Linked DNA regions of Sus scrofa. The protein of the gene in region 1 binds, or shares a complex with, the protein of each later gene. Links are inferred from orthologs where the notes say so. Each region holds a gene or a part of one and is shown in the gene's direction. Other genes may lie near its edges. The genes, in order: PAPD5 and ZCCHC7.

Evidence for each region.
Region 2: PAPD5 (region 1) and ZCCHC7 share a complex: the UniProt entries of both Homo sapiens proteins name them as parts of the nucleolar TRAMP-like complex. The link is inferred for Sus scrofa from reciprocal best matches to the Homo sapiens genes TENT4B and ZCCHC7.

Annotation. Positions count from the first base shown.
Region 1 is NC_010448.4:34,661,280-34,673,352, reverse strand, and holds the start of PAPD5 (non-canonical poly(A) RNA polymerase PAPD5), read left to right. Parts: upstream 1-4,054; 5' UTR 4,055-4,273; coding exon 4,274-4,902; intron 4,903-12,073. UniProt on the Homo sapiens protein: Terminal nucleotidyltransferase that catalyzes preferentially the transfer of ATP and GTP on RNA 3' poly(A) tail creating a heterogeneous 3' poly(A) tail leading to mRNAs stabilization by protecting mRNAs from active deadenylation.
Region 2 is NC_010443.5:237,814,204-237,826,305, forward strand, and holds the start of ZCCHC7 (zinc finger CCHC domain-containing protein 7), read left to right. Parts: upstream 1-6,471; 5' UTR 6,472-6,626; exon of another isoform or gene 6,627-6,630; intron 6,631-6,653; exon of another isoform or gene 6,654-7,187; intron 7,188-11,420; 5' UTR 11,421-11,441; coding exon 11,442-12,051; intron 12,052-12,102.

The DNA of each region.
Region 1 (12,073 bases):
ATTCTCATAACTATAACCATATGGCTATTATTCATGGTTTTGTTAACTCTGGAGTGGGGTAATATAATCACACACTAAGATTTAATTATAATGACAATTATTAATAATACCATGTAGTAGTATGTGCAATTCCCCCTTTTTTTTCAAGTTAATAAATCAATGAAATCACATTTAAATTGATTCTTGGGTAACTTGATTCTCATTTCTCTACTCAGTTTTTACTCTGCAGAATCTTGGTGTTTCTATAAATCTTTCAAGCTGAGATCCTCAACTCAATATTTCCCTCCACCCCAGAACAAGAGTACTGAGAATGAATAGGACATTATGCAGGAAAATGTCTCGGTTTTTGATAGCTGTGTTTTTGCCTCATCAATTTAATGAAGGTGGTTTTAAAGAATGCAATATTCTAAATAGCAAAATGAAAAGGCTGAGTAATCAAAATTTATTATTGAAATTAGTGTAGTCTTTCTCTTTGGATGCAGTAGATTACTTTGAGACAAAACATTGCAGATTTGTTGGGGAAAGTGAATACATTTTTTGTGTGTTTAAAATTCCCTACTCTTACTTTAGACTGGATAATTTTTGAGGAAACTTCCAGAAGAGATAACTTTATGATTCTATACCATGATACACGTTCAACATTACATTGCCTTATCTTTGTGCACACAAAGAACATTGCTGCCTCAGGGCCTTTGCACTTGCTATTCCCTCTGTTTGATGGATCACTCCCTAGATGGTCATGGTCCACTCCTTCACTTGAGTCCCTGCTCAAATATCACTTCCTCAGGGCAGCCTTCCCTGATTAGCCCATCTAAAAATAGCATACTGTCACTATCCTTTTAGCTTGCTTTCTTTCTCTTCATAGCACTTAGCCACTGTCTGACCTTAAATGCTAGCCCTACTCACTAAAACATAAGGTTCTCAAAGGCAGGGACCTCATTAGTATTGTTCATCATTGTAATACAGCTTCTGGCACATAATAATGGCTCAAGACATATTTGTTGAATTAACTAAATGAACTGTAATTTAACTTTAAATATTTACCAGTTTTTGTTTTTGTTTTTGTTTGTTGTCTTTTTAGGGCCGCACCTGTGGCATATGGAGGTTTCCAGCTAGGGGTCAAATTGGAGCTGTAGCTGCTGGCCTACACCACAACCACAGCAACTTGGGATCTGAGCCACATCTGCGACCTACATCACAGCTCATGGCCACACTGGATCCTTAACCCACTGAGTGAGGCCAGGGATCAAACCTGTGTTCTTATGGATGCCAGTCAGATTTATTTATGCTGAGCCACGAGGGGAACTCCCCCTGTTTTTTGTTTTGTTTTCTTTAACCTCCCTAACCAGACAGAAAATGTATGGAAGGCAGCCAAAGGCCCTGGCTGCTTATTTATCTTCTCTAAAACAATTCACTCAGTTCTGCAAGGATGCTAGACATTCAACCAAGATTTTCTGAATGAATGCCTTGAAACATGGATGTGTTACATGGCTAACCAGTTAGCATTGCTTGCAGGTGAATAAAAACAGCGATGTCTTGCCTTTCAGCCCATATTTTACAAAGTAATTTTATGTATATTAACTCATTTGATACTTTGCTAATACTTTCTCAATTCTTTTTTTTTTTTTTTTTTTTTTTTTTGTCTTTTTCCAGGGCCACACTCGTGGCATATGGATGTTCTCAGGCTAGGGGTCTCATCAGAGATGTAGCCGCTGGTCTACACCAGAACCACAGCAATGCCAGATCTGAGCTGCATCTGCGACCTACACCACAGCTCACGGCAATGCTGGATCCTTAACCCACTAAGCAAAGCCAGGGATTGAACCCGCAACCTCATGGTTCCTAATCGGATTCTTAACCACTGAGCCATGACGGGAACTCCAATACTTCCTCAATTCTTAAGGTTTGCCTCAAATATAACAACAAATGTTAATTTCTGGCATGTACTATTGCTAATTCTGAATACTATTTTTTTTTTTTTTTTTGGTTGTAGATATCATTGACATTCAATGTGCTTTTGGACATCTGAAAAAAAAATTTTTTTTTCCCTTTTTAGGGCCACACTCAAGGCATATGGATGTTCCCAGGTAGGGGTCAAATTGGAGCTGTAGCTGCTGGCCTACACCATAGCCACAGAAACTCGGAATCCAAGCTACAACTTCGACCTACACCAGAGCTCATGGCAACACAGGATCCCCAACCCACTCAGCGAGGCCAGGGATCTAACCCGCATCTGCATGGATCCTAGTCGGGTTCGTTAACCGTTGAGCCAACAAGGGAACTCCTGAAAAAATATTTTAAACCCCTGAATAAGATTTAAAATAAATAAGTAAACAAGTAAAAATAAGGAGGACTGTCTTGACACATATATGCATGGAGAGATTTTTCAAAGAGGGTTTTACAAAGTCTTCGTGATGGTTATTTTTAGATAGTGGGACCTTGATAATGTTTACTTTTTTCAGCTTTGCATTTTTCTCACTTGAATTTTAGAACAAATTTAAAGTGAAAATGAACTTATTTCTATACAATGCTTTATTTTTGTTAAATTTGCCAGTGTTAACAGCATAAAAATCTCCAGTCATTTTTCTGGCTGTGTAATTCTCAGTACACAGAAAATTCCATTCTAAGAAAAGGTTTAATACCGGTATACAGTAAAGCAACAAATAGAATGAACCAAAATTCTTTAGGGTTTTTGATGTGTTTTCCAATATTTATACCTATGCTATTCTCTCAGCAAGAAATTTGTTAATTTTTCATCTCTGGAAAAAAAAAATCTTTCCAGGATACTGAGCTCCCCAAATAGGTCAAAACTGGGTGTTAAGGACTTCTTCTGGACTTTGGACTAACCATATAGAGCACAGGTGAAACGTGCCCACTTATTTTCCTTTTTTCTCCTGATGATTTAAAATACTTAAAATTCCCTTTTCCTCGTCTTCTATCGCAGGGATGGGGAAGGTGTGCACATGACCCGTTTGTGGAAAATCTCTTCTGATGCCAACAACATGGTCCTCAAATGAGGCCTAAAAGGTTTTGGGTTTTCTTTAATCTGAACTAAGAAGGGTTTTTCATGGTTGCTGGTGCACCTCAGCTCAAGTGAGGTTTCTTTACTCGCTTCGGAGCTCGTGCGTCTGTGCGTGCTTATGCGCGCAAGTCTGTGTAAAGTGGGTTTGGGGAACGTGATGGTGGTTTTGAGCTCACGGCTTACGCACTCTACGAAGAAGTGCGTCCAGCCGTGTAGGTGGGCACAAGTTTCTCCAGTCTCGAAGTCGGGTGGGGGGACCCTCTGCCAAGGCCTGCGGGCTCCCAACGCTGGCCAGGGCGCGGCCAGGCGGGCGCAGGGAATAGCAGGGCGGCCCCACAACAGAGCAATCAGAGCAGCCTGCGTTCAGGGAGGGTGCTGGGCACATGCTCGGGTGGGGAGGGGGCACATTTTCTCCCATCTGGAACGTAGCTTAGAGCGGAGATCTCGGGAGCTGTCCGAGAAGCCCGGGGCGGGGAGGGGTGTCCCGCGGCTGCAGAGTGGGGGAAGGGACAGTGGGCGGGGTGGCACCTCCCACAATCTATTTCCTACGTAGCTGGTGGCCACCTCCGTCCAGCCTCGCCCCGTATCTGGGGTCGGGAAACTGAGACCGGAGGCAGCGCGCGCGTCAGGGGGCACCCGGACGCCCAGGTATGTGCGACACCCTCCACAGACAGCACCGGGACGGTTGGGCCGGGCGGTTGCGGCCCTAGCCGCGGGGCCCAGCGGCCTCTGTGACGCACGGCGCGGCCTCCCGGGCAGGGCTGGCCGCGCGGCGCGGCGGGGGCGGGGCGAGCGCGGGAGGGAGGGGCGGGGGCGGGGGGGCGGAGCGATCGGGGCGGAGCCGGCAGAGGCCCCGCCCTGGGGCCGGAGGAGCGAGGACGCTACGGAGCAGGCGCGTCCTGCCGCCGCCGCCGCTGCCGCCGCCGCCGCCGCTCGCCCTTTGCCAGAGCCGCTGCTGCCGCCGCCATTTGCACGGGGACCCCGGTGACAGGGGCTCGGCAGAGGGGCGGAGGGAGGGGGGGAGGGCCCGCGGAGCCCCCGAGGGCGGGAGCTACGCCGCCGGCGCCGGCCGGGCTCCCTGCGCCACCCCGCCGCCCGCGGCGGGCCGGGAGCAGCAGGAGCAGCAGCGGCAGCAGCAGCAGCAGCAGCAGCCGCCGAGGCCAGGCGTGCGCCTAAGGCGCGGCGGCGGCGGCGGCGGCGGCGGCCCTGCGGGCAGCCGGGAGGGGCGGGGGCAACGGCCGCCGCCGTTTGATGGATCCGAGGATCGCCTGGTTCCAGCCAGAGCAGCTCGGACCGTCCAACAGTCTGTGGATGCAGATCTGGGAGACGACCCAGGGACTGAGGAACCTCTACTTCAACCACCACTGTCACAGCAGCGGCGGCGCGAGCGGCGGCGGCGGCAGCAGCAGCACGGCCACCGGCGGGAGCGGCAGTAGCACCGGCAGCCCGGGCGGCGCGGCCCCGGCCTCGGCCCCGGCCGGCATGTACCGCTCCGGGGAGCGCCTGCTGGGCGGCCACGCGCAGCCGGCGGAGCAGCGGGACTTCCTGCCCCTAGAGACGACCAACAACAACAACAACCACCACCAGCCCGCGGCCTGGGCTCGCCGGGCTACCACGGGCCCCTCGGCGTCCCCGTCCCCCTCGGCGTCCTCGTCCCCGCACTCCTCGGCCGCCCTCCCCGCAGCGGAGCCCGCCGACCCGGCCTCGGGCAGCAGCAACAAGAGGAAGCGCGACAACAAGGCCAGCACCTACGGACTCAACTACAGCCTGCTGCAGCCCAGCGGAGGGCGGGCCGCGGGGGGCGGCCGGGCGGAGGGCAGCGGGGGCGTGTACAGCGGGACCCCGTGGAAGCGGAGGAACTACAACCAGGGAGTCGTGGGGTGAGTGATGGCCCTACGGCCTGGTGGCCTGGGCCCTTGCACACGCGCAGCCGGGCACACGCCCACAGAAGGGGTTTTTTTGGGGGGGGAGTCTGGGTGAGGCCACCCCCCCACCCCCGCCGTCGGCCTGCCTTCGTTTCTCCCCCTCTGGGAGCTGATGGCCATCTCTCATCCCTCCGCCATCCACACCTCCTCCCAACCTTCCTTAGCGGTCCACACCTCATCCCCCTCCCCCTCAGCTCCACGCCTTTTCTGGACGTCCCCTCAGCCATCTACACTCTCTGCTCTCCTCCCTTAGTCATCCACATCCTCCCTCTTAACCATCCAGGTCTTCTCCGACCCCCCTTATCCATCCACTTTTTCCTCCCATCCCCCCCCCCCCCCCCCGTCAAACACACCTTCTCTCTATTCTCTCTAGCCCTTCCCATCGTGCTCCCCATCATCACACCCCAGAATGAAGTCGCTTAGCACAGGCAAATCATTCATTCCCTGAGAACATTCCTGTGTTAGCGCCTTTTGACGGTACAGGACCTGGAGGTGCTTTCCTTGCCAAGAATAGAAACATCCAGAAAGCTCCTCCCCCTCCCCCAATCCCAAACAGGAATCGTGTCAGCCCTGAAAGGCTTCGCCTGCTATTGACCCTTTGGCCCATCCTTTTATTTTATTTATTTTTATTTTTTTCAACAATTCCTGTATTAGCGATGCCTTGCTCTGTGGGGAGTGAGGAATGGAGTGACAGTTAAGTTTAGGCTGGTGGAGATGGTGAGCTTTCCTTCTAAGGCGGATAGAACTTTCTAGGAGTTCATGGTCCTTGGCCCCAGTTTCTCACTGTAAAGTTGTCATCCTGGCAGAGACAGCCAGTGCTTTTCATTCTAGGGGGTAACTTTATGCTAATGAGTGAATGTTGCACCACTAATGACTTTCTGTTTAAAGTTCAGCTGTTACAAAATGGAATCTTACCTGACCCCTAGTGAATTATGTACAGAAGCAGGGATATTTCCAGCTAGATTTCCCTCCTGGAAGAGCCCCTGTGCTGGAATAGATTACAGTCTTCTTTTTTTTTATTTTGTAAAACAAAGCTTTGGGCCTGTGTGTGTGTGTGTGTGTGTGTGTGTGTGTGTGTGTGTTTGCCTTTGAGTATTAAAGAATGAGCTTTAACATTTTCACTTTCCAGATCCTCTTTTACATTGTGGGCCACACTAGGCAAATGAAATCACCATCAGTGGTCCCCTGTGAAACCTTTTCTTAGATTTGGCAGGCAGAGACCGTTCTGTGTACCTTTTTGAAGGTCTGGGTAAAATGAGTTGGTGGGTTCCATCTGCTTCTAGTGGGCTGGTGTCTGCTATACGCTACTATTACAACTCCCACCTTTTATGGAAGATGCCGTGAAGAGTTCTAGGACTGGCACGGGGGTACATATCAAACCTGTCCTCACTTTCCAGAGGGGAACCTTTTAGGGTTGAGCCCTCTGTGCTAAAGCTTCAAGGGCGCTCTCCATGGTCATCTTGTTTTAATAAAAGGCTCATGGTTTCACCCTGTTCACATTTCCAAGATGAAGCATAAACCTGTGGTTTAGTGACAAGCAAATTGATGTTAAGGGGTTCTGGTAGTTTCATTTCCTAGGAATACGCTCCAGTTAAGTAATCACTGTCAACTAAAAACCTCGAAGTTCCCTAATTTCGTTTTCCTGAAGCTTCTGTGTATGTGTGTAGCAAAGATATGTTCTAAACCCCAAATGCTGGCTACCTCTCTTTTTGATAAATTAGAAATTCTTGTCTCTCTACTTGCTGTTTATTGTCAAGGATACTAGAAAAGGCTCATATTTGAACTTAGGTAGAAGCAAGATGTTCTTGTTTCTAATTCACATATTATATTGGTCTCAAAGGGATTAAGGAGGGGAATTTGCATTTCCCAGAGAGATTACTGTTTAAAAACTGGTTGTAAACCTGCCTTAAAACTGCTTATCACTTCATCAGACTTTCCATTCTTTTGCCTCCCTCTTTAGAGGATGTCAGCAGTTAAAGTTCTTACATTTTATTAAGCAGTTCCTAAGAGTGTTTTTGTAAGAGTGTCTCCGTCCGTAAAAAATTCTTGTTTTGATTTACAGATCCTTATTGCTTGGCTGTTACAAAAGTTTTGCTGCTTTTTAATACAAGTATTTAAAGAAGCCTGAATTCAGAGTGCACCTCAATGTTATGCTCTTCGGAGATTAAATATAGTAAAGCTATTCTTGGGATGTGACTGACACTTACCTAATAGGTTAACAAATTGTGGTGGTCCCTGGGCCTCTGACTGTCCAGACAGGGAGAGAAAGAAAGAGCCCAAGAACAGTAGACCGAATCTGTAGGACAGCTGTGTACACTCTCATATCTTTGATCTCCCAGTGTTCTCTGCTTTGGCCAGACTGGTTGACTTACTCCCTGAACACACCAAGATACAGCTCACAATCCTGACCGTGTTGCCCAGGCTCTTGTTTTTTTGGTTCCTCCTTTGAAATCTTACCGGACTTGATTCATGCTCTTGGTAGAGCTTGCTTATGTTTAATTTTCCTTTTATGTATATGTTTTCTCTTACCCACTAGGTCACTAGGTGCAATGAAATTTCTTTCTAAGAAATTTTGGAGTTCCCACTGTGGCACAGTGGGTTAAGAATCTGACTGTAGCCCCTCAGGTCGCTGCAGAAGCGCGGGGCTTGATCCCCCAGCCCAGTGCAGTGGGTTCAAGGATCCGGTGTTGCTGCAGCTGTGGCTTAGGTCGCAGCTGTGGCTGAGATTTCGTCTCTGGCCCAGGAACTTCCATATGCCACGGGTATAGCCATAAAAATAGATAAATAAAAATAAAGGGAATTTTTAAATTTTTATTTTATTTTATTGTCTTTTTGTCTTTTGTTGTTGTTGCTATTTCTTGGGCCGCTCCCATGGCATATGGAGGTTCCCAGGCTATGGGTTGAATCGGAGCTGTAGCCACCGGCCTACACCAGAGCCACAGCAACGCGGGATCTGAGCCACGTCTGCAACCTACACCACAGCTCATGGCAACGCCGGATCGTTAACCCACTGAGCAATGGCAGGGACCGAACCCGCAACCTCATGGTTCCTAGTCGGATTCGTTAACCACTGCGCCACGACGGGAACTCCCAATTTTTATTATTAATTAAGGTAAGATGGAGGGTTTGTAAACGTAGAGTACGATGTTTGGATTTCATCGTGAAGGCTTCATCGTCCTCTTTCAAAGTTGAAACTCACCTGAGTTTACTATCTCAGCATTCTTGTCTTGTGCCTACAGATCCAGGGAGTTTGTTTGCTTTTCTTTTTTCTTTCTTTCTTTTTTTTTGTCTTTTGTCTTTTTAGGGCCGCACCAGCGGCATATGGAGGTTCCCAGGCTAGGAGTCTAATCGGAGCTACAGCTGCTGGCCTACACCACAGCCACAGCAACACCAGATCCGAGTTGCGTCTGCGACCTACACTACAGCTCACTGAAACGCTGAATCCTCAACCCACTGAGTGAGGCCAGGGATTGAACCTGCAACCTCATGCCTAGTCGCATTTTTTTCCACTGCACCACGACGGGAACTCCTATTTTCTCTTTATAAAGTGTCTTTGTTTTCTGTATTTTTGTTTGTTCTTTTTTTTGGCTGTGCCCATGGCATGTGGAAGTTCCTGGGCCAGGAGTCGAATCTACATGGCAGCAGCTACCCAAGCCACTGCAGTGATAATGCCGATCCTTAACTTACTGCACCACAAGGGAACTCCCTAAAGTTGCTTTCACTTATTCTATTTCTTGGGATTCATTCCCTTTCTGTGCTGGCTATGGTGTAGGAAGAAGTCTACCTGCTCTTTCTGGTTGTCCATGAAAATGAACTTTAAGCCCTTTTCAGAGATTTCATTGTCGGTAGTTCTCATTGTGGCTCAGCAGGTTAAGAACCCAGCTAGTATCCACGAGGCCTGGCCTTGCTCCGTGGGTTAAGAATCCGGCATTGCTGCCAGCTGTGGCATAGATCAAAGATGTGGTTTGGATCCCGTGTTGCTGTGGCTGTGGTTGTGTATGCCAGCAGCTGCAGCTCTGATCTGACCCCTAGCCCGGCTTCCATATGCTGCGGGTGTGGCCCTAAAAAGAAAAAAAAAAGGTTTAATTGTTGATCACCATGGAGAGAGATGACAAAAAAGTAACAAACATGGGAAATTTGGGAGCCTCAGAGTCATTGGGCCTGAGCCCTGGTGTCTAAAAACTTCTTAAGGAAGGTGCTTGGGGCTTGTCCAAGCTCATAAGGGTAGGCTTGTGTTGGCTGCACTGCCAGATCTGTAGAAAGTTTTTCAAGGCTGGAATGACTTGTTCAAATAACATTTTGGAGTATGACTTTGACTATGGGACATCAAGAAGTCCATACCGGGAAACTTGGGTTTAAGAAATAATTTCTCGAACTGGGGTGATGGGGATGGGAAAGGGAAAGAATTAACGTGAGAAGTGCTGTAAGTTAAGGACAGGAAAGATTCTGACTCCCGTCATAGATTTAATAATCACCCTAAGCTTTGAATTTGAGTGACTGGGGAAATGTTTGGGTTATTACTGAAAGTAAGAGTGAGGCCTGTTGGTTTGAAGCAAAGGGTGCAGTGCTGTTTAGATGGAACTATCTAACAGGGAATGGAAATTTGGGGGCTGACATAACATTGTCCTTACTGCCGTGGGGCAGTGTCCTTCCTTCTGTATGACACTATGTCACAGTAAATCCAGGATGTTGACCCTCTCCTGCAGCATTGGCATTGTGGCCTCTTTCTGCCTATGTCTACGCAGTATGATCAGTGGGATTGGTGTTAGTGCTGGGCTCTGACTAACTAACTAACTGGGCTCCAGGCAGATTAACATGAAATAATTCAGAGGCATATTTCTACAGTTTGCTGTAAGCGTAATTTCTGTGCATTTGTAAGCGTTAGCCCACGGTACTTCTTCAGTGAACCAGGACCTTCAGGTTGTTGAAGTTTACTGCGTTTGGATGCTGAGACATGCTTTCAAGAAGACGTTGGGTTTTCTGCAGTGTAGGTTCTGCACCGACAGTGTAATTCATATTTGAGAATTTCCCCAAATCTAGTATACTGTGTTCAACTAAGCTGCTTCCATGCCAGGACTCACCTTCTGTCTATAAAATGTGCAACAGTGAACTGCTGTCACAGTGTCAGAATCACTGGCATTTTAACATGTGGAATTGTTTTCAGCATCTATTAAGTTTTTAGGTGTTGGAGGGCAAAAGGAAACAATGACTAGGGCTTTTTAGAGTCTGCCCTGGGGTCACAGAGAAGATTTAGTTGTTGTTCCCCCCGACCCCCCAGGAAAGGAAGCGTGGCTACTAGAAAAAGCTAAGGTCAGGGAGGAGGAGGAGGGAGAGTGTGTGAGAACATTTCTGGTCCTGGTGTGGTAGATGGCCTGACATTGTAACCTCTTACGTGAAACCCTGGCCAGTAAATCCTAGTGTTAGGACTCCAAAGAGGGTCCGTGGCAAGAAAATTCAGGGGCTCCCTTGCAGATATTGGACTGGTCAGATAGTTGTGGGTTCGATATTCTTATACCTGTTAAAGCTGAGAAAAATTTACGCCACTTTTCTGTATGGAAGGTGGAAGCGCAAGCTGTTGTATGATTTTACTCAGCTTTCTATTTTTCCTTCTGTGGAATCCTTTAAAATAACATTTAGTGAGGAAACTATTTCAGGATCACACCCACTGCACTGGAGACTGTGTGTATTAGTCATTTATACACACAGGTATGGAGTAATCCTGAAGGGGTTATAGGCCGGAGAGGATGCTTTTTTGAAGAATTAGGATCCAGTTCCCAGCACCTAGTCTGAGACTCCTATTTTGGCTCTGCTGCAGAGCTGGCTGGACAGCTCAGCCTGCTTCAGGAATTCAGGGGATGGCTGATAGAATGTTCTTTCTAACCCTCAGAGTATTTGTTAGGGACCCAGCTGCTACAGAATGACAAAAAGGCTTTAAATTCACTTTTTACCGTTTTTAACATGACACGAAATTACTTTTTTCTAAGAGAATATTTATTGAAGTTGAGGATGGCCTTGGGCTAGGCTTTTCATTAATTTGAACCCAAACAGCAAGTGATACATTTATTTCTGTCCTGTAAGTTACTTGATGATATTAGAGGCTTTTGTATACTAAGGGCTTTGGGCTATGTGGAAATTTGAATTAGAGATTTGGGGGAAAAACTGAATGTGGAGACGCTTTTGCTGTGCAAGCTACTTAATCACTTGGAGGGTTTCAGATTTGAAAAAGAAGCGTCTTGCCGTGTGTGAGAGATTTCGTGTAGTATCTGGTAACTGAACTTGAGCTCCAGTCATGCTTTCTGCTGAGATGGTTTGAATCGTATACAGAAGTCTGTGTTTCCAAATTTGTTGACTTATTAAAAGTGCTCTATATAATAAAAGTACTCATGGAGCCTTTTTACCATATGCTGTGTTAAATCTTTCGTATTCGTTAATTAACCTCATGTATAGCTTTATCTAATTTTAACTTTTTATTTTGAAATGCATTCGCAGAAAATAGTACAGAAACATCCCATGTTCCTTTCACCTAGTTTCGTGCAGTGATAACATCTTATATAACTGTAGTTTAATACCGCAACCAGGAAATTGACATTGTTATAGTCCACAGCCGTATTCAGATTTTACCTGTATAACACGCACTCATTTGTATAGTTTATGTTTGTGTGTTTAGTTCTGTGCAATTTTCACATGTAGATTTCTGTAACCACCACCAAAATCAAGATACAGAATTCTACCATCACCTCAAAGATCCCTCATGCTATCCTTTTATTTTTATGCACACCCACCCTTGTCTCTAGCCTCAAATGACCACTAATCTGTTCTCCATGTTTATAATTTTTTCATTTTCAAAATGTTATATAATCAGAATCATACTGTACTTTACTTTGGCTTTTTTCCATTTAGCATAATTCCTTTGAGATTTATCCAAATTGTTGCATGTCTTAATAGTTCCTTCCTTTTTAATGCTGAGCAGTGTTCTAAAATTTGGTTTGCCACAGTTTTAACGATTCACCTGGTGAAGGACATTCCAGAAGAGTTTATAGTTTTTGGCTGTTGCAAATAAAGCTGCTATAAACATTCATGTGCACATTTTTATGTGAACATAAGTTTTCATTTTGGGGGGATAAAT
Region 2 (12,102 bases), on another chromosome or scaffold:
GATGGGAACTCTAGCCATGACGGGAACTCCTAATTTTCTATTTTGACAAAATTTCAGACTTAGAGAAAAACTGCCAAATTTGTACAAAGAATTCTTGTATACATTTTACTCAGATTCCCAAAATGTTAATTTTTTTAAAAATCACATTTGAGTCATCATTCTCCTTTCTCTCTTCCTCTCCTTTGGCCCAAACACAATATTTTCCTCAACCATTTGAGAATCAATTTCAGACATGATGTCCTTTTACTGCAAGTTTACTTCAGTGTATATAGCCTAAAAAGACAAGGACATTCTCTTACATAACTGTAATAAAAACATAAAAATCAGGAGAATAACAGCAATACAGCACTGTCATCAAATCTAGATTTATTCAGGTTTTTCTAACTGTCCCAATTATGTCCTTTATGGCCAAAGAAAATCCCAGATCGTGCATTGAATTCATTATGTATCATGTCTCTTTCACTGTCATTTAGTACAGAACAGTTCCTCAGTCTTTGTGTTTTATGACACTGACATTTTTGAAGAGTTCAAGTCAGGTATTTTGTAGAATGTCTCTCAATTTGTTTTTGTCTCATAGTCTCTTCAGGATTATATTCAGGTTATGCACTTTGGGTAGGAGTACCACAGAAGTGATGTGGTGTTCTTCCCAGTGAATCATGTCTCACTTTTTTTTTAAGTGAAAGCCCCTCTTTATCCCCCTCCACTTCTATTCCCTTCCACTGAAGTCAGTAACCACTGTAATTGATTGGCATCCACCAAGTATTTTCTCTATGCATTTATATACACATAGATCTAGACACAGTCACCACAGATCCTTTAAAACTATAACAGAAATGAGAATATAATACATCTATTGCTCTACAATTTGCCTTTTTTCCCCAATTAACCGTATGTCTTGGAGATCTTTCTACATCAGTACATACAGATTCATTTCATTCTTTTTTTTTTTCTTTTTTAGTCTTTTTGCCTTTTTTAGGGCTGATCCTGTGGCGTATGGAGGTTCCCAGGTTAGGAGTCTAATTGGAGCTGTAGCTGCCGGCCTACGCCAGAGCCACAGCAATGCGGGATCCAAGCCACATCTGTGACCTACACCCCAGCTCATGGCAACGCCAGATCCTTAACCCACTGAACGAGGCCAGGGATTGAACCTGCAACCTCATGGTTCCTAGTCGGATTCGATAACCACTGAGTCACTACAGGAACTCTCATTCCTTTAAAAGTAGCAGTTTAAAAAAATAGTATAAAAAATAGGACAGCTGTATCCTTCATGATTTCATACCTTATTGATGAATATGTTGTTTCCTTTTACTAGCCATCACAATCTTTGCACCTACATATCTCACTCACAGTTTTGATGGAAATTGCCAACTAGCTCCCCTAAAAGGCTCTTCCAATTTGTATTTCCCCCTACAGTATATGAGGTCATTTTCATTCTTTTGATCATGAGTGATGTTGCACACCTAGTTCACAGCCTTTTGGATTTCTTCTGCGAATTGCCTGCTGGTGTTCTTTGCAGTTAGACTGGACTGTTGTTTAACCATCTGGCTTGGCTGAGCCTGGGCGGGAGCGTGGGGGGGGGCGGGGAACCATTCAGAGCAGGAAGGGGATGATGAGCATGCGCAGGGGTGCGTCGTCTCAGGGCGCCTTCAGGCGGCGGGTGCGGTGCTTGCCCTTGGCACAGATGGTCACCTGGATGGGCCACTGGGAGACACTGTCATGACGGCAAAGCCTCACTTACTTGGCTTTCCCCTCTGCTGACAGAGGTGCCTCCGTTTCCCCTAAGCAGCCAGCTTCTCCCTCCTTCACCACAGATGCATAACACTGTTCATACTGCACCCAGTCTGTCATTTGGCAAACATTCCATGCTGAACCCACTCATTGCCCAAGCGATCTCTGTGAGTCTGCCACCTCCTCCCCGTTGGGATAAGCACTGGAGAGACAGGAGCAGGCTCATCATGGTTTCCACCCTCAAGGAGCTCTGTTTTGAAAGGCAGCTTTGGGCATAGAAAAGAGCATAGGTTTTGGATTCAGACAAGCCTCGAGTTTGAATCTCAGCAGCGTGATTTAGAGCCAGTCACATGACCTCACCAGGCTGCAATTTCCACACTAGTGAAATGGAGTAATAGTCCCTTACAACATATTTCAGAGACCATATACCCAACATGGCTAGCAAGGAGATGTTACATAGGCTTTCAGTGAATGAATAGTAATGGAAAGGCAACTGGTAAAATGATTAGTTAGTTCTCAGAGGTTCTAGGTACTACTAATACACCAAACTGAACAAAAGAAAGGAAGGAGCAATGGAAAGATAAGGATGAGTCACTTTGCCAGATCCTGCTACACTATGGCCTCCATCTTGCCTGTCCTTTGCAGCAAGTTCTGCTTCATCCTGGCTCAGCTGCTCGCTGTTAATGTAGTACCGCCACTGCCCTGGGGAAAGCAGGTGCTTCCTTTCTCAAATAAATGGACTCTTTAGACCATTCTCTGTAAGAGAGGCCCCTGGAGCCTTGTGCATGCCTCCATATGTAATCTCAAGAGGTGTGGACCAGAGACGGCATAAGGCAGGAAGAGAAATACTGTTGGGGCGGGGGGTGGGGGGGAGACTCAGAGGTGTGTGTGTGTGTGTGTGTGTGTGTGTGTGTGTGTGTGTGTGTGTGTGTGTGTGTGTGTGTCTGTGTCTTGGGGAGAGACTCAGAGACCTGGATTACCTACACATTCTGCCTCTGCTAGGTGACTCTTGGCAAGTCTCTTCGTGTGTGTGTGTGTGTGTGAGTGAGAGAGAGAGAGAGAGAGAGAGAGAGACCTGGATTACCTACACATTCTGCCTCTGCTAGGTGACTCTTGGCAAGTCTCTTCCCTTACTAGCTTCAGTTTCCCCATCGCAACAGATTTAATCTCATGAATTCTAAGAGCCATTTAAATGAGACCACACCGGAGTTCCTGTCATGGCACAGTGGTTAACGAATCCGACTAGGAACCATGAGGTTGCGGGTTCGATCCCTGCCCTTGCTCAGTGGGTTAACGATCCGGTGTTGCTGTGACCTGTGGTGTAGGTTGCAGATGCGGCTCGGATCCTGCGTTGCTGTGGCTGTGGTGTAGTCCGGTGGTTACAGCTCCGATTCGACCCCTAGCCTGGGAACCTCCATATGCCATTGGAGTGGCCCAAGAAATAGCAAAAAGACAAAAAAATAAATAAATAAATGAGAACACACCATGTAAAGGCAGGGTGTGTGTGTGTGTATATTTACTTGTAGCATCCTCCTTAGTCAGAAATCTCTGTATCCTTGGACCCCTGCAGCTCTTTATGCCATCTTAATATCATGGAGCACCACACTGCATTCTGGTTATTTCGGGTCATGTCATGGTTTCCTACTGAACTGACAGAAGGTGGATCCACGTTTGGTTCTGGTTTCCTAGAGCCTCAGGGAGTTAGCTGTCCTTCCTTTCTTTAACAACTTTATTGAGTGCTTGCTGTCTGCCAAACACTATGTTAGCTGAAGAAGATACAGAGACAAAATGTCAGAGTTCCCTGTGGCTCAGTGGGTTAAGGACCTGGGATTGTCACTGCTCGGCTGTGGCTCAGGTTGCTGCTGTAGTGTGGGTTCAACCTCTGGCTCTGGAACTTTTGCATGCTATTGGCACGTGCACCACCACCCCCCAAAAAAACAAAAGACAAAATGTCAAAGCTTTTTCCTTCAGGGAGTTCACAATCCAGCTGAGTCAAACACAATGTAATTGCCTTGATGGAAGTTTGTCCAAATTGTAGGGGAGCTCAGGGGAAAGAACGCTTTTTCTGTCTGGCTGAGTTGGAAGGTTTCGCTGATGACCTGGGCTTGAGCAGGGTAGGGTGAAGGACAGGGAGAACTTTACCAGCAACAGGAATGCCCTCTGTAAAGGCACAGATATGATAGAGCATAGTGTGTTGGGGCAACTGCTCAGCATTCAGCATGGTGATGAACAGGTAGGCAGATGTCAGCTTATGAAGTGTTCCTTATGCCATCCAAAGGACTCTTGGTTTTATGACATAATCTGTTGGAGGTGACCAAAGCATTTAAGCACAGGAACTAGTAAATCTTCGTTGAATGTAGGAGTAATAGTGGGAGGGCTGGGCACAGAATTAGAATTTCTTACACGTGTGGCCTTAGGCGAGCTACTTAACCTCTGAATCTACTTCCCTTTTTAAAAATTCTCAACCTCAAAGTTTTGTTAAAATTTAAGTTTACATATAGTACACTTACAGGAGTAAGCTTGGCATTTGATAAAAGCTCAATATATTATTATTGTTGTTGTTGTTTGGCTGAGCCCACAGCATGTGGAAATTCCCGGGCCAGGGATCAAACCCACATCACAGCAGCTACCTGAGCTGCTGCAGTGACAATGCTGAATCCTTAACCCACTGCACCACAAGGAACTCCACAATATACTATTTTTTAAATTTTTTTTTTTTTTTGGTCTTTTTAGTGCTGTACCCACAACATATGGAAGTTCCCAGGCTAGGGTTCGAAAGAGAGCTACAGCTGCTGGCCTACACCACACCCACAGCAACTCAGGATCAGAGCCTTGTTTGTGACCTATATCACAGCTCATGGCAACGGCAGATCCTTAACCCACTGAGTGAGGCCAGGGATCAAATCTATGTCCTCATGGATACTAGTGGGGTTTGTTTCCACTGAGCCACAATGGGAACTCCCACGTAATATATATTTTAAAGGTAACATTTGTTGTACATAATACATATAACCTAACCATCTAGTAATTTCTGTGGCTCATTTCTTAGCCTGTTTCTTCCTCTGCAAAATTTTACCATTGGTCCTCCAATTTTACCATTTCACTGTACCCTGTCTTCCTTCCTAGCACTTACTATGTTAACTAAAATTTCTAATTTCCCAGTCAAACTCTTATTAAACTATATGCAAATCACCTGCATTCTGCTTTTCCAGGTAGACTCTAGATCTATGAGACCAGAGACTTTAAAAATTTACCACTACATCCACAAACTGATAGGACTGCCTAGCTCTTAACAGACGTTCAATAAGTGTTGGCAAAAATAATCATTAGAGGGGTTCCCGTTGTAGCGCAGTGGTTAACGAATCTGACTAGGAACCATGAGGTTGTGGGTTCGTTCCCTGGCCTTGCTCAGTGGGTTAAGGATCCAGCGTTGCCGTGAGCTGTGGTGTGGGTTGCAGACTCGGCTCGTTGCTGTGGCTCTGGCATAGGCTGGTGGCTGCGGCTCCGTTTGAAACCCTAGCCTGGGAACCTCCATATGCAGTGGGAGCAGCTCAAGAAAAAGCAAAAAGACAAAAAAAAAAAAAAAAAAAAAAAAAAGTCGTTAGAGTTCCTGATGTGGTGCATAGTGTTAAGGATCTAGCCTTGTCTCTGAGGTGGCTAGGGTTTTTGGTGAGGCTAGGGTTTGACCCCAGGCCTGGTGCACTGGGTTATGAATTTGTGCACTGCTGCAGCTGTGGCTCGGATTGGATTGCTGACCTGGGACCTTCCATGTGCCACAGGTGCTGCCACACACACAAAAAATCAATGTCAAGCTTATCTTTCAAGACTATTGTCAGAGTTCTCTGGTGGGCTTGTAGTTAAGGATCCAGCATTATCATGGCTGTGGCTAGGGTTTGATACCTGGCTGGGAACTTTTGCATCCCATGGGTGTGGCCAATCTCCCCTGCCCCCATCTTAAAACTCAAGACTGTTGCCAAGGGCCCACGAATTAATAAAATATTTCCTTATTTGTAAAGTTGTACAGTTATTAAAATATGGTGTGAGAAGAGAAACCAAGCCAGAGGCTCCCAGCACAATCCTCTAGAGGTTTCCAAGGGACCAGTATCGACTTCAGTGTTTAGCATGAGTGCAGCTTTTCAAGGTGCACAAAGACTTAAATCTGTTGCCTTGTATTCTAGGAAAAATAAGAGGCGGAAGCGCCCCAGCGTAAACTAGGTTCAACTTCAACCTTGAGATGTAAGTGACCTGCATAAGGTCACCTAGCTCAAGAAAGAAGTATCTAGAAGGCAACCTTTCTCAAAGAGGCTTCTCCCTTGCTGAGGTTCTCTACGTCCTCCAGCCATGCCGCCAGCTGCACCTGCCCCTTAGCCCTTACCTGGGTCTCGTGGCTCCCGTGCCACGTGGCATAAGGAAGGTGTCTCCTCCTCCCCCAGGTCAGGGAGGAGGCGGAGCCCAAGCTAAACCCCGCCCCGGAGCATCATGGGAGACGTAGTTTTTCTCGCGGGCACAAAAAGGCGCTAGCTTTCTCCGGTTTGGCTCGGTAAGCAGCATTTTTTCCGTGCAAGTCATTCAAACAAGGTGTTTCCCTATTACAGGTGCAGCCTAGACACTTCTGAAAGAAGTCGTGGCGGGGAAGGAGCAGAGCAAGAAAGGCAAACCGAAAAGACTCTCAGCTGGGAAGGGAAGGGGGAGTTTATAGTTGTTACGCATGCGCAAGAAGGCCCGCAGGGTGGGCGGGGACGGAAGACAACTCCTGGGAGAAGTGTTGTCCCCGGAAGTGCCTTCCCTCCTCCCGGGTCGGCGCGGACGCGGTTTCCTTACCTCATCTGTCCTCGCCCCTCCCCGTCCCTTTACGCGTTTTGGTTCCTGGTTGGTGCTTCCTGGTCGCAGCCGCGGCAGTGAGTATGTGTGACGGACCCCGAGCCGTCCACGGGCCGGGGACCCCTGCCTGCCCTCCGCCTCGCCCGCAGGGCCGTGGAACTAGCGCGTGTCCCCTCGCTGGCCTCCGCGTCTCCCGCCTGTCCCTTACTTGTGGCGGTACCCGGCTCCGCTCGTGGCCTCTCAGTCGAGCTCTGTCCCACGCGACTCAGCTGACTGGCTGAGGTGTCTGCTTCTCCTCCCTTCAAGGCCTGAGACTGTGGTTCAGAAAGAGCTTGGGCGCCCATGGCCTCGATGGGGATGGTGTTACTGCCTGCTTTACCCCCACTACCCTCTGAGAGTCCCCTGTCTTTTAGGGAAGCCGGTCAGTCATTTAAACCCGAAGGGAGCTCGGCCCTTGAGGATCCAACAGTCCTGGGCCAACTCCAGCCTCAGCTGTCAGAAGCAGCAGCTCTGGGGGCCAGAAAAATTTGGGCAGATGGCCCTCTTCCCCCATGTAAAACAAGGAGACTTGTTCCTTGATTCCTTTTATCCCTTACATCCAGGGAACCAGCAGTTAACTTCAGCTCTAACAGCTGCGGGTATGTGTAGTAGGGAAACTGGCTGAGTGAGAGCAGGCCGAGTTACAGCCGCGACTCCACTACCGACTCGCGCTGATGACTCTAGAAGTCTTCTCTTGAGGTTGAATTTACCTTTTTTTCAGGTTGCAGGGTTGAATTAGGAGATCTTTTAGGCTCTTTGAATAAATAAGCTTCTTAGATCCCGTTTCTGTCTGTATAAAATGAGAGCGTTCAATTGAATGACTTCGAGGTCCATTCCAAAACTATTGACTCTGTGTTTTGAATATTTAGCTTGTGTGTATATTTTCAGTTTTGTGATTTTGAGCGCAGTGCACTATCGTTTTCAGGAGAATCTGGGGGTGGGGAATGAACTAAGGAAGAAGTGGAAATGAGGATTGTAAAATAGCTCCAAGGGTAAGAGACTGCAGCAAAAGGAAAAGGGGCCTGTGGAAAAGATGAAGTAAGTGTTTTGAGATAGGATTAGTTATCCTATGAAGACTTTATGTCAGAAACAGCTGGATTTTTTCTGAATAAATTTAGCATTATTTTCTCCCACAAAAATCTTGTATCTGTCTGACTGTGTTTGTGTGAGTGTGTGCCTATTGTTTGTCACATTTGGATTCTCTATCCCATTAGATTTACCTCAAAGCGAAAGTCATATTTGAAGAGTGGACAGAAGTTTTAACACAAGTCAGTAGTGTTTCAGATCTCACTGTCAGAATAGCTCACTAAGAGTGAATCAGAAATTTTAAGTTGAAATAAAACTTAGTCTTTTAATCATGTTCTAATGAAAACTGGACTGAAAATCAAGCTGTGAGTTTGATTTAAATCACTTTGAGATGGATAACTATCTCATCAAAAGGAAACATTTAAGCTTAAACTTCTTTCAAGAGAAATAAAAGCGAAAGGTCTGGAATGATCAGTTGGTAGACTGTGAGCAGAAATACTGGCTTTAAAGATTGTATAGTAAAATCTGAGAGCTTAAATAAATCTTAAATTGTCTGGATTAAAAAAGTTGAGTGAATGAATAGTGTTCTCACTTTGCATGGTGAGAGCCTTTACAGTTATTCTTTATAGCTGTTTCATATTTGTTAAACCATTTTAATTCCTTAGAGAAGTTTTTTTTCCCAGATTGATATTTTAAGTTCTTAGATAAGGGCCATCTTTTTTTGGTCATGGCATTGCCATAGTCTTTGAGTACCAACTTGGGAGGCTCCTGGATGGTAAACTGACAAATTCAAATGTATGCTTTTCTTTCCAGTTAAAATTCTTTCATAGTTTTTAAACTCCACAGGCAAGTAAAATGGATATTGTGAGGTTAATTTACGTCTTAGAACCAGTGCAAATATAGCTTTGAAGGAAGGTTTTCTTTTAAATCTTTATTTGAAATTGTTGATTTTTTTTTTTTTTTTTTTTTTTTTTTTTTTTTTTTTAATCTTAGTGAACACTTGGCTGAGAGTCAGGGAAATGTGAGTCAGTTTTAGCTGACTACAACTTTGGATAAGCCTCCCTATCTTTTTTAGAGCTCAGTTTCCTTCTATGTAAGTTGAGAAGACTGTAGGTGATGATCGGAAAGGTCTCTTCCGGATTTAAAATTTTGAGACTCTCATAGAGACTTTATGTTAACTAGTTAAGTATGCTTGATAATTGTGTACAATGATCAAAAAGCTGAGAAGTCCTTCTGAATCAAGACAGAGTTATATACATATATGTATTTTCATATTTGTCCTCTGAGTATACATTAAAAAAAGTAAATTAAATGCGTTTGAATGCAATTAAAGTAGTAACACAAACCAGAACAGCCTCAGGCAAGCCTTAACTCTGGCATACATAAGCCAAATAAATAGAAGAGCAAGTTATGCTGAGCACAATTTTCAAGTACAGAAGGTACAAAATCCTCTTAAAGGCCATAGGGGCTAAATTGTTAAATTCATTTTTCTACATTTCAGGGAAAGAGATAAACCCTTAGACCCAAGGAAGTCTGTTTTTATTTTATTTCTGTAGTTTATTTTTGGCATACATTCACAGGTGCGCCTATGGCTCTATTCTTAATCCCTTTCCTTTGGGATGGCTCCAAGAGTAGTACAAATTTGTAACTCTGTAATTTAGCTCTTTAATTTTTTCTCTGCTGCACCGGAATTATGTTTTATCTTAAGTCCACACTGGATCCTCAGGATGGATCCACTGAGGATTTTGAAGGAAGCATAATTCCTTTGACTTCTTTTAGAATTAATTTACCTACTAAATAAAAAAGAACGGATTCGTCTTTTATTTGAATTTCTCTGAGGCTAACATTTCAATATAAACTGATAAATGCTATGAGCATTATTATTCAGACAGCCACATTCAACTTGTGTCACAACAACAGCATAGCTGTTGCTAAAGGACTGTGCAGGAAGGGAACAGGTCTATTGTACCTTTCTGAAGGAAAAAAAGGCATTTGTAGTTGGCTCCCCCCTCCCCAGATATAATTGACACATAACATTGTGTAAATTTAAGGTGTTTAACACATGATGATTTGTTACATGTATATATATTGAAATGATTACTGCTTTAAGGTTAGTTAACACATCCATTACCTCCCATCTTTACCTCTGTGTGTGTGTGTGTATGTGGTTAGAACATTTAAGATTTAGTCTCTTAGCAGATTTCAAATATACAATACAGTATTGTTAACTCAGAACTTAAATCATTTTTTTCCCCAAGCTTTATTGAGACATAAGTGACATATAACACTGTATAAGTTTAAAGTGTACAACAAAGTTTGGTTTCTTTATTTTTATAAAACAGGAAACTCCAGCATGAGCGTAGTATATTTTTGGCTCTTATTCATTTGACTCTTGGAATCAGCAGGTTCTATCATTAAAAGTACCCTGACATTTGGGGCAGACAATTGGTAATTTAGTCTTCCTAAATTTAGTCTATCTAAATAGTAGAGTAGAAAGAATAAATTGTCATTGTTGTTGTTTTCCAGACTGTCCCTGATTTTTTTTTTTGACAAAAATGAGGTTTTTGTCCCTTTTCCAGAGCTTTCATTTTGATCAATATTCTGTTAGTACCTAATTGAAACATCTGTGTAGATTTTTGGTTGATGATATGAGAATATTTGGAATAGTTGGAGACAACTATGATATTCACCTCATAATTTTCGTATTTTACGGACATATTAGATTTATTAGAGCTGAAGAACAAATGCTTGATGATATTATCCATTTCTTTATTCATTCATTAATTCAGCAGACATTTATAGAGGCCCTGCTAAATGCCAGTTATTCTGTTCAACTTTGGGGATCCATTGTTTAACAAAGCGCATATAGTTCTTTCCCTCCTGGGATATGTGATCTGTGCTTGTGGGAGATTTACGTTGCATTAGTAATTAGAAGTGTGAATGTTTTGAAATGTAAAGAGCTGTGGAAACCTATAAAGGGTTGACAGTTTAGTTTGGTGGGTCAAGGAGAGCTTCCCTGAGGAAGTGATATTTAAACTGTGTTGAATGATGAGCAGGATTTAATAGGCTCACAGTAGGAAAGTAAAGTGCTCTTGAAGCTGAATTTTACCTCAGTTTTAAGTCTTTAGTTTGTATTTCATACACATCTTTATAGCTAACAGAGAAATAAACTAGGTTTATCCAATATTTTTATGTTCCTTTGGGTCAGAGATCAGAAGGCCATGAGATTCATTTTTTAATTGGGAATAAAAATATACACCCAAACAGTAAATATGATCATTGTGTCCTTTTGTGAATTTTAGTCATAATTGAGGTGATATTCCTCAACCATGTGGGAGTGCATGTGAGGTGGGAGAATGTATCTGAAAAGATGAGGTACAGAACCAGAACCAGGGAAAAGATGAAGAATGGATGGAATAGTAGTGAGAATGACCTAAAATATTTTTGTGTGGTTTTTTGTTTTTGTTTTTGTTTTTTTAACATTTTGGAGAAAAAGTGGTGTCTGAAAGAGTGGGAACTTGTTTTTCCTTTCTGACATACTTGTGACCTTTCCATTAGTAACTATAACTCAGTTTGTTGGTAGTGATTGTCATTTGGGAGAGGTGGGCATTATTAGAGTGGTCATAACAATTAGAAATTCTTAAAAAATGATATTCCTCTAAGAGAAAAATATTTTAATTTGTGATTGAGCATCAATAAGTGATGGCCTTCACAGAAGTTAGCTCTAAGAGGTGATTTGTTATGTACTAAACAGGCATGATCTGACCTGTTAAAATACATTCTTTGTATGACTTTCTATTTTACAGCCTCGAGATTACTGACCTTCCATGATGTTTGGTGGTTTTGAAACTATAGAAGCATATGAAGATGACCTTTATCGTGAAGAGTCATCTAGTGAACTAAGTGTCGATAGTGAGGTGGAATTTCAGCTCTACAGTCAAGTTCATTATGCCCAAGATCTTGATAATGTCATCAGGGAGGAGGAACATGAAGAGAATAACTCTGGGAATTCTGAATCATTTGGTAGTAAACCAAATCAGAAGAACTTAATTATCCTTTCAGATAGTGAGGTCATCCAGCTATCAGATGGGTCAGAGGTCATCACTCTGTCTGATGAAGATAGTATTTATAAATGTAAAAGAAAGAATTTTAGAGACCAGGCAAAAGAAAAGACCCAAGGTCCTCCTGCTTCTCTTCATTCTAATGAGCTGGCAGATCAGAAATGCAAGAGGGATGTTGAGAAGCCTCAACCTGGAGAGAGATCGGGTGCAGTCCAAGAAGTCATGATTATAGAGGTCAGTTCAAGTGAAGAGGAAGAGAGCACCATTTCAGAAAGTGATAACGTGGAAAGCTGGATGCTGCTGGGATGCGAAGTTGATGATAAAGATGATGATATCCTTCTCAATCTTGTGGGATGTGAAAAGTCTCTTAATGAAGGTTAGTATCATATTGGCCATTTTGAAAAGTAGTATCGTCTTTCATAAGGAA